Linked DNA regions of Macaca fascicularis. The protein of the gene in region 1 interacts with the protein of each later gene in a pairwise test. Links are inferred from orthologs where the notes say so. Each region holds a gene or a part of one and is shown on either strand. Other genes may lie near its edges.

What was found.
Region 2: the proteins of CEP57L1 (region 1) and KATNAL1 interact in binary tests that used the Homo sapiens proteins (3 or more experiments, as listed by UniProt). The two-hybrid records come from large-scale screens. The link is inferred for Macaca fascicularis from reciprocal best matches to the Homo sapiens genes CEP57L1 and KATNAL1.
Region 3: the proteins of CEP57L1 (region 1) and RAD51D interact in binary tests that used the Homo sapiens proteins (3 or more experiments, as listed by UniProt). The two-hybrid records come from large-scale screens. The link is inferred for Macaca fascicularis from reciprocal best matches to the Homo sapiens genes CEP57L1 and RAD51D.

What each region holds. Positions count from the first base shown.
Region 1 is NC_088378.1:13,195,840-13,199,590, forward strand, and holds the start of CEP57L1 (centrosomal protein CEP57L1), read left to right. Parts: upstream 1-954; 5' UTR 955-1,035; intron 1,036-3,751. UniProt on the Homo sapiens protein: Centrosomal protein which may be required for microtubule attachment to centrosomes.
Region 2 is NC_088391.1:10,004,621-10,008,271, reverse strand, and holds part of KATNAL1 (katanin p60 ATPase-containing subunit A-like 1), read left to right. Parts: exon of another isoform or gene 1-109; intron 110-880; coding exon 881-1,007; intron 1,008-2,640; coding exon 2,641-2,839; 3' UTR 2,840-3,651. UniProt on the Homo sapiens protein: Regulates microtubule dynamics in Sertoli cells, a process that is essential for spermiogenesis and male fertility. Severs microtubules in an ATP-dependent manner, promoting rapid reorganization of cellular microtubule arrays.
Region 3 is NC_088390.1:41,441,530-41,445,180, reverse strand, and holds part of RAD51D (DNA repair protein RAD51 homolog 4), read left to right. Parts: intron 1-2,855; coding exon 2,856-2,946; intron 2,947-3,075; coding exon 3,076-3,146; intron 3,147-3,651. UniProt on the Homo sapiens protein: Involved in the homologous recombination repair (HRR) pathway of double-stranded DNA breaks arising during DNA replication or induced by DNA-damaging agents. Bind to single-stranded DNA (ssDNA) and has DNA-dependent ATPase activity.

The DNA.
Region 1 (3,751 bases):
CAGTCCCCGCCCTCCGCAGCTCCTCCCAGCGCCTCAGCAGCCGGCCGGGCGCCGGCAGGGAAGGCTCGCCGAACCCTGGCCCACTGGCCGCAGCGGCCGGAGGCTTTGGCGCTGCTGGAGGGCGGCAGTCTCGGGCAGCCGCTGTCTCGGCGGGCGGCGACGAAAAAAAGCGTCCCCAGCCCCGCCAATTCCGGACCCCCGGGAAGACGCTACTTCTCCGATCCCTGCACCCTCGCCCACCACCGCCGAGCCAGAGGGCATAGGGCGGCCCTGGCAATCCTCGAGCGCAGGGCTGGGCCGCGGAGCTGGCGGGGCGGCGGGGCCCAAGGCGCAAAGCCCGCCCTTCGCCCAGCCCCATCGGTGGGGATCAGCCCAGAGGGCGGGAGCAGGGAGGGGAGACGGGGTCCTCACCCCCAGCCCCTCCCCTTTCTCCGCCCGGCACAAACCGGGAGCCACCCCGGCCCCAGCGCCTTCTTCCCCGCCCAGGCAGACGCGACCCGCCGAGGCAAAGCCATTGGAAAAAGCCCCGCCCTCTGGCAGGCTACCTCCGGACCCCCAGTGCGCCGCGCGCGGCTGCCAACCGCTGCCGGCTGCTACGCATGCGTGACTTAGAACAGGGCACAAGCGCCTCCGGAGGCTCTAAGCTTGCGCCCTGGGGCGGTTTCCGTTCCCGGATGTTTGGAGTGTGTCCTGGAGAAGGGGAAGGAAAAAGTAAGGCGTAGAAGTACACTGAGACTTCGTCACACACAAAACAAGCACGACAAAGAAAAAGGGCACGAAGGGACTCCTGGACGAAATTGAGTCTACATTTAAGATCACCGTAAAAGTAGTGACGGCCTCTTTATTACTCCAAACCCCAGATTTAAGTCGGTGGGACGTCTTCGCGTTGACTTGTGGGGAATGTAGTTTTGATGCTGCCGGCGCGTTTTGTTTGCGACAGAAACTACAATCCCCAGAGGCCACTGCGACGTCGCCTGTGGCTGCCCGCGAACCAACGGTTAGCGGTGGCAGGGGCTGACTGAGAGTGTCTGCTTGGTAAGCACTGTAGGCTGGGTTGTCACCTTTCCTTGACAGGGTTTTTCCTTCCTCCATTTCCTCTGGGATTTTGGAGACGAAGCCATCTAGCGTGGCCTCCCTTAGTCCAAGGATTTTTCCAGTGGCTTGCGTGGGAAGGACTAGTCCAGCTGCCCAAGCGCGGGGTGTGGTGGGTGAGGCGAGGATTTAGGGATCCTGATCCCGAGGGTCGCAGGGAGCGGCCTAAGAAGGAAGGATGCTGTGGAAACTGGAGCTTCGGGCTGCTGCTTCTGCTTCCACCCTTTTCTGTGGGCAGGCGCGGGATGGATTTGGGATCTCTGCGCATTTGCACCTTTGTTTGCCTTTGCTTAGGGATGTGCTGGGCTTTATTTGCTTTTAGAAAGTCATTATTTGAGAAAAGTCGAGGTTTGAACGGCCATCAGTGGACTGATAATCGGTGTAGATTTTAATTCTTTATGTTGCAGAATTGCATTACATTAAATTCTAAAACTTTCATCTTGCTAGGCACTGAATATACAACAATGAGAAAGACAGTCTTATCCAGTTAAGAGGAACCAGTTGTTAGACATACAGTTACAATACTATATGATATCACTGGGATGCCTAGAAGGAGATCACTTAGCCCAGTCTTGGAAAGCCAGGGAAATCTTCATCCCAGCGGAAATGAAGATCAAAAGAACAGCATATGCTAAGGCCCAGAGCGAGAGATAGGGTACTTTCAGGAAACGTCAGTAAGCCAAATCATACATACTTGGCGGTGTGGGGTGGGAAGGGAAGGGTGCTTTTTGTGTATTGATGTACTTTGAAGCTACAAAGAGACACATATTGTGAATTCTTTACATTGTTTCTGTAAGTGAGCTATTTTTGAATAGATGCATAGTTCTGATGAATTGGTCGAATTTCAAAAGCCTGTTACATTCTAACACTTCTAGTTTGAATCCGAATTTTGAAAAGGGAATAACTTATGAATGTGATTGAGAAAACAAAACAAAACCATTCCGTTTTTATCTCCTTTTTGGGATGATCATCCTCTATCCAGCCCATAAAGGGTAGGGTAGTTTCTTAAGGCTGGGTGCCTTTTTATGCTGTAGTTAAATATGATCTCACGTGTACCCATGGCTTCACCAACACTTATGACTCTCAAATGAATAGCTCCATTCAGCTTCACCTCTCAGCTTTCACATATCTATCTCTTGGATATTTCTTCTTGGATATCTCAAAAGCATCTCAAACTCAACATTCCTAAAATCAAATACATAGTTATCTGTTACAAATCTGATTCTTTTTCAGTGTTCCTTATTTCAGCAAAGGACACTACCATCCATCTACTTGTGAAAATTTGAAAGCCAAACATTATTCTTTATTTCTTCTTGCCCTTCATACTTTTATGGCTAAATTATTACCAAGTTCTGCCAATCTTATCTCCCAAAATATCCTTCAAATATATTTTTCTCTCCACCTGTCTTCAAACTGTGGTAATCTCTCAAGACCACTACAGTAGCAGTTATTCACAATGACCCTCCTCCATTAGTTCTCCATTATAGCTACCAGAATGATTTTTTTGAAACTGCAGATCTGATCAGATTTTCTCTTGGTTAAAACTATTCAGTGGTGTCCTGCTACTGTTAAAATAAAGGCAAAACTCCTTTATAAAGCCTGACATCATCTGGTACTCTTTCAGACTCACTTCATATACTGCTCTCCAGATCAACCATACAGACCATTTTTCACTCATTGGTTCTCATATTCCATTTCACCCACACATTTACTCAACAAATTTCTGTTGAGTCCCTTTTATATAACAGGACATTGAGGATACAGCACTGACCACAATATATAAAAATTCTTACTGTCATAGAGCTTACATTCTACTGAGAAGAGATAGTAAATAAATATGTAAAACATTTAGTAAATGAAATGAAGACAAATGCAGTGGAGAATAAAACAACTGGGAAGGGGAATGGGGAGTGTCAGGATGTGAGGGGCTAGGTTTACTTTTAAATAAAGTGGTTAGAAAAGACCTAATCCAGAAGGGGACAATTGAGGAGATATGAAGTAGGGGAGGGAATAAACCATATAGATGCCTGGGCAAATAGCATTCTAATGAAGAGAGTTAGTGCAAAGGCAGGAGCCTGAGTGCACATTTGAGAAATAGCAAGAAGGCTAGTGTGGCTGGAACACAATGAGTACAAAGAGAATAACATGAGGTCACAGAGAAAGGAAGTAATGGTGGGAGAACATGTACGTGACTGAAAGGACTAACATTTTTAATTGAGTTGGGAAAGCATTGGAGAGTTTTGTGCAGATGAGGGCATGATCTGACTTTTTTAAAATGACTACTTTTCTTTCTCTCTCTCTCTCTTTCTTTTTCTCTCTCTCTTCGATGGAGTTTTGCTCTTGTTGCCCAGGCTGGAGTGCAATGGCACAATCTTGGCTCACTGCAACCTCCACCTCCCAAGTTTAAGCAATTCTTCATCCTTGGCCTCCCAAGTAGCTGGGATTACAGGCATGCACCACCATACCTGGCTAATTTTGTATTTTTAGTAGAGACAGGGTTTCACCATGTTGGTCAGGCTGGTCTCGAATTCCTGACCTCAAGTGATCCACCCACCTCAGCCTTGCAAAGTGCTGGATTACAGACATGAGCCACCGTGCCTGGCCTCTTTCTTTTTGCCTGAGGCAGAGTCTCACTGTGTCACCCAGGCTGCAGTGAAGT
Region 2 (3,651 bases), on another chromosome or scaffold:
AGCTAGAGTGATAATGGCAAAATGTTAGCAATTGGTGAATCTCAGTGAAAGGCAAATGGGTATTCATTGATTTTCTTTTTCTGTAGATTTAGCGTTTTTCAAAATAAAAGTAGAAGATAATTAAATTTCGTTTTGTATCTCAGGAAATAGTAGAGTGCCAGATAAACTAGTAATGCATTATCTTAGTGTGCTGTGCTAAGCATATTTGCTACTAAAAGCACTACTGAAATGGCAAGTGTGATTGGTTATTTTAAAAATTCTGAGTATGTTTGAACTTATTCAGTTCACATTTAAATCATACTGGAACAGCACATGTCTGTGGGCTGGCTCTCCAAGTAAAAAATACATTAATGAGCTTTTTGTGCCAATTACTGATTTTCAGGAAATGTTCTTTAAACTACTGATAAGAGTTCTGGAGATCCATGTCATACTAACAGGTGAACAAAGTAATTCATAGGAGTTACACTTGATGCAGTCTAATTTTCTAACACCAGGCTAAGTTTTTTTTTTTTTTTTTTTTTGAGAAGCGTTTCCGGTGCCTGAAAACTGATATTTATATTTTTCGTGAAGGATCTCAGATTCTTTGTTCTCATAGTAGATATCTTCACAGTCTATAAAGAAAACCCAGGTGGTTTTTGTTTTTGTTTTTGATTTTTGTTTTTTGTTTTTTTCAATTTTTAGTTACTGCTACAGAGGCACATAGGAATTTAAATGATTCCATGAGTCATGCAGTGAATTGGTAATAATACTAATGGATACACAGTTATTGACTCTTCTTTGCATTGGCCTCATTTTTCCCCCTGAATGTTAATATGTCATTTCTCAGCAAAATTATTTGTAAAGTAAAACATCTAACAACACCACCAAAATCTTGTAACAGCAAAAGGAAGAGCCGAGCTTCTGAAGATCAACCTTCGTGAGGTCGAATTAGATCCTGATATTCAACTGGAAGATATAGCCGAGAAGATTGAGGGCTATTCTGGTGCTGACATCACTAATGTTTGCAGGTATTTTTTTAATGATCTGTGATGTTAGACATTAGTTATAGACTTGGCAGGAGGACTAGTCTTAAAGTCAATGTAGTTAGCCCAGTGTAGTTAGACATGAAAGCAGCTACCCATTTCTTTGAAATGGTTTCCCATTTGTCCTTTTTTTTTCCCATATAACTTTATTCTTCATTGTGAGATGAAAATTATATAGCATTGGTCACTTATGTTTTTGATCTTTGGATTTTAAAGAAATTGTTGTGTCGGTGGCTCGTGCCTGTAAGCCCAGCACTTTGGGAGACTGAGGCAGGCAGATCACGAGGTCAGGAGGTCGAGACTATCTTGGCTAACACAGTGAAATCCCGTCTCTACTAAAAATACAAAATATTAGCTGGGCGTGGTGGCGGGCGCCTGTAGTCCCAGCTACTCGGGAGGCTGAGGCAGGAGAATGGCGTGAACCCGGGAGGCGGAGCTTGTAGTGAGCTGCGATGGTGCCACTGCACTCCAGCCTGGGAGACAGCGAGACTCCGTCGCAAAAAAAAAAAAAAAAAAACTTGTGTCTAACTTGATGATAACGACTTTGACAACCTAAGATTAGTTTAGCTTTGTGTTGGAGCCTTTCTACATCAACATAAAGTAATATTATTTAGTTTTGGTTGGCATTATTTAAACACATGCCGATGAGCAAAAATGATCAGTGTAAGCTGGGGAAGATACACATTTAACATTTTTTCAGTTTAGCGACATCATAATTTTTAGACACCTCCTGTCACTCTGTGCAGTTATTTTTTTCCTTATTTTTCTAACTGTACTTAAATTGACTGTAGTAGCCTTTCTTTAAAGCTGTAGCATCTGTTTTTCTCACCTTTTCTGCTCGCATTTTTCCCATGTGCATCCAAGTTTAGTGGCATACAATAAGGTCACAATAGTTTCTACCGCTACTATAGTGAAATATTTAAGAACTTGACATTTTTGTTGGCTTGGCCTTCCTAATAGCTTTTTTGTGTTTATGAATTATCCTTTTCTTCCATACCTTCATATTTATGATGGTCATATTTATGTTGGTCAAAAAGAGCTGCACATGATGGTCATATTTATGTTGGTCATATTTATGTTGGTCAAAAAGAGCTGCACATGGGATCAAGAGAAGCCAGAGTTTATGCCTTTAGTTGCCTGCAAATACTCCATGTAGGGAATTCCGTGTCCACTGTATGTGGATATTCATGTTTCAGAGAGAGTGATTTGTGGCTTTATTCCTCTATTTAGGCTGTAGACAAACTGGTCTGTGATTTGAATTATCTTAACATTAGCCACGTGTTCATTTCCAAGTGTACAATTCAGTATTTCAAAATTCGACTTTGGTTTCTTAAACTTCTTGGCTGTCTTTGAGGAGCAAGTGGGAAAATATAATTCAGTACTGTTTGAGCTTAACTTAGACTTTTAGGGTTCATTAACTGTACATTTCATGTTTCTGGTTATTTGCATCCTGTTTTAACTTCTGCCGAACCCCCAGGATGTTTCTTAAGTGGAAAATTCTAAGAAGCCTCATAGAAAACATATAATCTTTTGATTGTTTTTTCATAACTTTGTTACAATTGAAAGTGTTTAAAACATGTGCAAAAATTACTGTTGACTGACTGTGGTGTATTTTTAGGGATGCCTCTTTAATGGCAATGAGACGGCGTATCAATGGCTTAGGTCCAGAAGAGATCCGTGCACTTTCTAAAGAGGAACTTCAGATGCCTGTTACCAAAGGAGACTTTGAATTGGCCCTAAAGAAAATTGCTAAGTCTGTCTCTGCTGCAGACTTGGAGAAGTATGAAAAATGGATGGTTGAATTTGGATCTGCTTGAATTTCTGTCAACTCTTTAATTTCTGGTATTTTTGTTTATAAAATATGAAGAAATTCCTGCAATTTTTAAAAAACAGATTTGGAATTTTTTTTCAGTGGAGTGATTTTCACCTAAAGGAAAAAAAACATCTAAAACTGTGAAGAATACTAAATGTAGTTGAGAAATAATTCAGGGCGAGAGTTTGCTAGTCTCCCTTCCCTCGCTTTGTACTGGTATTCCACGTGTTCCTGCATTAATATTGCACACCCAAGCCAGTCTATCAGGGAGGCTGAAGAGAGGGAGCAGTGTGCTATTTTAGAAACTTGTTTACAGAAGATTTAGAAATACCCCTATTTCTCATTTGCAGTTGTTTTTCTTTGTTTTTGTTTTTGTTTTTTTCCACTTCTTTGCTCTGTCAACATGAGGGACCTATCTATACAGGTTGACTTTTAACATCAAAATTGGATTTGTGTCACACTCTGTATTTATTGTTAAGAGAAGAATGACAGTATATTTTGGAGGAAATAATTTACTGATTAAACCTTTAGAATTTATGACTTACTGTTAGGAGTCTGTCATATGGTTAGAATTTTTACTTCCCCTCCCGCTGCCATTTATTCTACTAGCTACTTAATAACGTCTGGAGCTTTATTGAGGAATATTCTCACGCTCTGTGGTATTTGAATCATTTTGCCAGGTCATTTCTCTGTCTTTAGTATTTTTTTGCTGGTGCTTCTTATACTTAATATGGAAAGGTGGGAAGAATATTGCATTAGATGTAATTCTTCATTCTAGACTTCCAAGTGTGTTTTCACTTTTCTTGTGTGTGTGAA
Region 3 (3,651 bases), on another chromosome or scaffold:
ATTTTCTTGTTCTTCCCCTCACGGTTGCAAAGAGGCTGCCGAAGCTCCAAGTATCTTGTCTTCACACATCCACATCCATATTCAAAGCAGTAAAAGATAGATGGTTCTTTTCTGTACCTCCTCCCTTTTATCAGGGATGAAGAATCTTTCTCCAGAGCCCACTAATATGTCCCTCTTCCCCTTACATCTAGTTGGCCAAAATGGAGTTATGTGTGTATCTTGGACTAAGGCCTGGGCCCACTATCCCTGAAGTCAGATTTCTGCCCAGTGCCCAAACACATTCAGAGTCGTGTTAACGGGGAGGATTTAGAATGGCATTTGGGTTGGTACTTTGCTATTCATGTTGGATGCTTAGACAAGATTTGGTGCACTGATTTATAAATGACTAGATGTGGAGGATACCTTAAAGATAGAATAGTTCATCTCAAACTTTTCCTCTCACCCCAAAGCACGACATGTTCGCACAGGCATCCCCGCAACTATATATAAAGTCAACGATTTTTACAAACTTTAGAACATATAATAGTTGAACAAGCTGGAAGTGGTGGCCCACACCTGTAATCCTAATGACTCCAGAGGCTGAGACGGGAGGATTGCTTGAGCCCAGGAGTTGGAGGTTGCAGTGAGCTATGATCATGCCACTGTACCTTACCCTGGGCAGCACAGCTAGACCCCGTCTTTAAAAAAAAAAAAAAAAAAGTTGAACAAATACTTTTCTCAGAAGTCATAGCTGGTTATGACCCACCAGTTTGTTGAGACATGATGCTGAGTAGTGCTGATCTCACTTTTAGAGATGAGAAGAGTGAAGGCCAGAGAAGTGAAGTGAGTTGACCAAAATTGACCACATATTTAGGACAAGAACTAACCGTATAGCCCAAATCTCTCAATTCCAGATCAGAAGACTGTATTTTTTTACTGTAGGACCATTAGATGGTATATCTTCTATTACTGCATAATAAGTTACCAAAACCTTGGTGGCTTAAGACTTGGATTTTTTATCTCACAGTTTCTAGGGGTTAAGAATCTGAGGCTGGGAGCGGTGGCTCACGCCTATAATCCCAATGTTTTGGAAGGCCAAGGCAGGAGGATCGCTTGAGCCCAGGAGTTCAAGACCAGCCTGGGCAACATAACAAGACCCTGAAAAAAGAAAAGGAAGGAAGGAAGGAAGGGAGGGAGGGAAAGAAAGAAAAGAAAAGAGAGGAAAGAAAGAAATAAAGAAAGGAAAGAAAGAGAGAGAGAGAAAGAAAGACAGGAAGAAAAGAAAAGAAAAAGAACCAGAATCAGGATATAAGAAGTAAGGGAGAAGACAAAAGAAGCATCAAAAACAGTTTAAGTCCAGGGAAACCAGGAGGATGCTCCTTCTTGTGTAAAGACAGAAAATTATGGTTAGAAAGATGGCACCAGGCCAGGCATGGTGGCTCATGCCTGTAATTCCGGCATTTTGGGAGGCCAAGGTGGCCAGATCACTTGAAGCCAGGATTTCGAGACCAGCCTGGCCAACATGGTAAAACCCCATCTCTGCTAAAATTACAAAAATTAGCCGGGTGTGGTAGTGCACACCTGTAATCACAGCTACTCAGGAGGCTGAGGCAGGAGAATCGCTTGAACTTGGGAGGCGGGGGTTGTAGTGAACTGAGATAGCACCACTGCACTCCAGCCTGGGCGAAAGAGCAAGACTGTCTCAAAAAAAAAAAAAAAAAAAAAAATTAACTGAAAACTACACTACCCTAAAGTCATCAAATTTCAGAAAGCCCCATGTAGAGTACTGAGACCTCTGGTCATGGATCTCTCAGCAGCCATCTCTCTCCTGTGTCCAGCCTCCCACCGTGGTGGTAAGGCCCTTCTTTTCCGACCCCCTCCTTTTTTTTTTTTTTTTTTTTTTGAGATGGAGTCTCGCTCTGTTGCCCAGGCTGGAGTGCAGTGGCTGGATCTCAGCTCACTGCAAGCTCCGCCTCCCGGGTTCACGTCATTCTCCTGCCTCAGCCTCCCGAGTAGCTGGGACTACAGGCGCCCGCCACCTCGCCCGGCTAGTTTTTTTTGTATTTTGTAGTAGAGACGGGGTTTCACCGTGTTAGCCAGGATGGTCTCGATCTCTTGACCTCGTGATCTGCCCGTCTCGGCCTCCCAAAGTGCTGGGATTACAGGCTTAAGCCACCGCACCCGGCCCAACTCCCTCCTTTCTTTCCCCTGTCCTGCTAACTACTAACCTCAAATTCCTAACTTCCTTGGCTGAAGAGTTTAGCCTTCTCTTTACTTCACTGTCTTCTTCTAGATCATGCCTCCAGTCCTCATCTTCCATATCTAAAATGCCTCCAAATAAATTCCTTAAGTCTTGCTCTGTCACCCAGGCTAGAGTGCAATGGCATGATCTCAGCTAACTGCAACCTCTGCCTTTTAGGTTCAAGTGACTGTCATGCCTCACCCTCCTAAGTAGCTGGGATTACAGGTGTGCACCACCACGCCCGGCTAATTTTTGTATGTTTAGTGGAGATGGGGTTTCACCATGTTGGCCAGGCTGGTCTCGAACTCCTGACCTCAAGTGATCCGCCACCTTGGCCTCCCAAAGTGCTGGGATTACAGGCGTGAACCATTGTTCCTGGCCACTTTAGTGTAGTTTTGATGTCCTGTGATTTAAACCCTTTCTTTCTACCCAAGTCTTCACTGAAGTCTGTTATACATACCAATGGGACGAGGGAGACATTGCTGCTGATGACATTCTGTGATGCCCGTGCAGCCTGCTGTATTTGGGATGAGGGGGGCTATTTCTTACTAGTTTTAGATAGAAAAGCAAGCTTGTCCTGTAATGTGTCCTAGAGGCCAACAGGTTCATGAGTGCTTCCCCCACATTCCTTTAGGTGACTGGTTCTTCAGGGACTATGAAGGTGGTGGTGGTGGACTCGGTCACTGCGGTGGTCTCCCCACTTCTGGGAGGTCAGCAGAGGGAAGGTGAGTGATGTGGCAGAGCCTGGGGCCAGTGGAACGTGACCTCGCCTCCCAGCTCTGGAGTCTGGTCTCTGGCCAGCCCCGTCCCTGGTTTTCCACTGCCCTGCCTCTCTGCTTCTCCTCGTCCTGCAGGCTTGGCCTTGATGATGCAGCTGGCCCGAGAGCTGAAGACCCTGGCCCGGGACCTTGGCATGGCAGTGGTGGTGAGGAAGCAGACTTGGCCAATGAACTTGATTTCTAGTTATTGCTAGCTCTTTATTTCCCTTAAATGTCAGCTTCTGAACCCCAAAGTGGCCCTTTAGGAAAGGGACATATTCCAGCTTCCCTGGGTCAGCTACAGCTTTGCACCATAAATAGCTACGGGAATCAGGAATTGTCTTGTTGTTTTTTTGTTGTTTTGTTTTGTTTTGTTTTCCTACATTTTTTCTTTTTAGAAAGGTTTATTGAGGTATAATTTACATAGAGTACCTTTCTCTTTGTCTGAAGTTTGACTAATGGATATAGTTGTATCCAGTCTTGTGACCCCACCAAAAGGTCCCCCAGGCCCAGGCAACCACTGATCTGTTTTCCATCCCAATAGTTTGGCCTTTTCCAGAACTTCATATAAATGGATCTTTTTGCTATTGAAGTAACTTTTTCTGCTTATGAGGTAGTTTTTTTAAAGTCTGCATGCTTCTCATAGAAAAGATAAAAAATAAATATAAGATT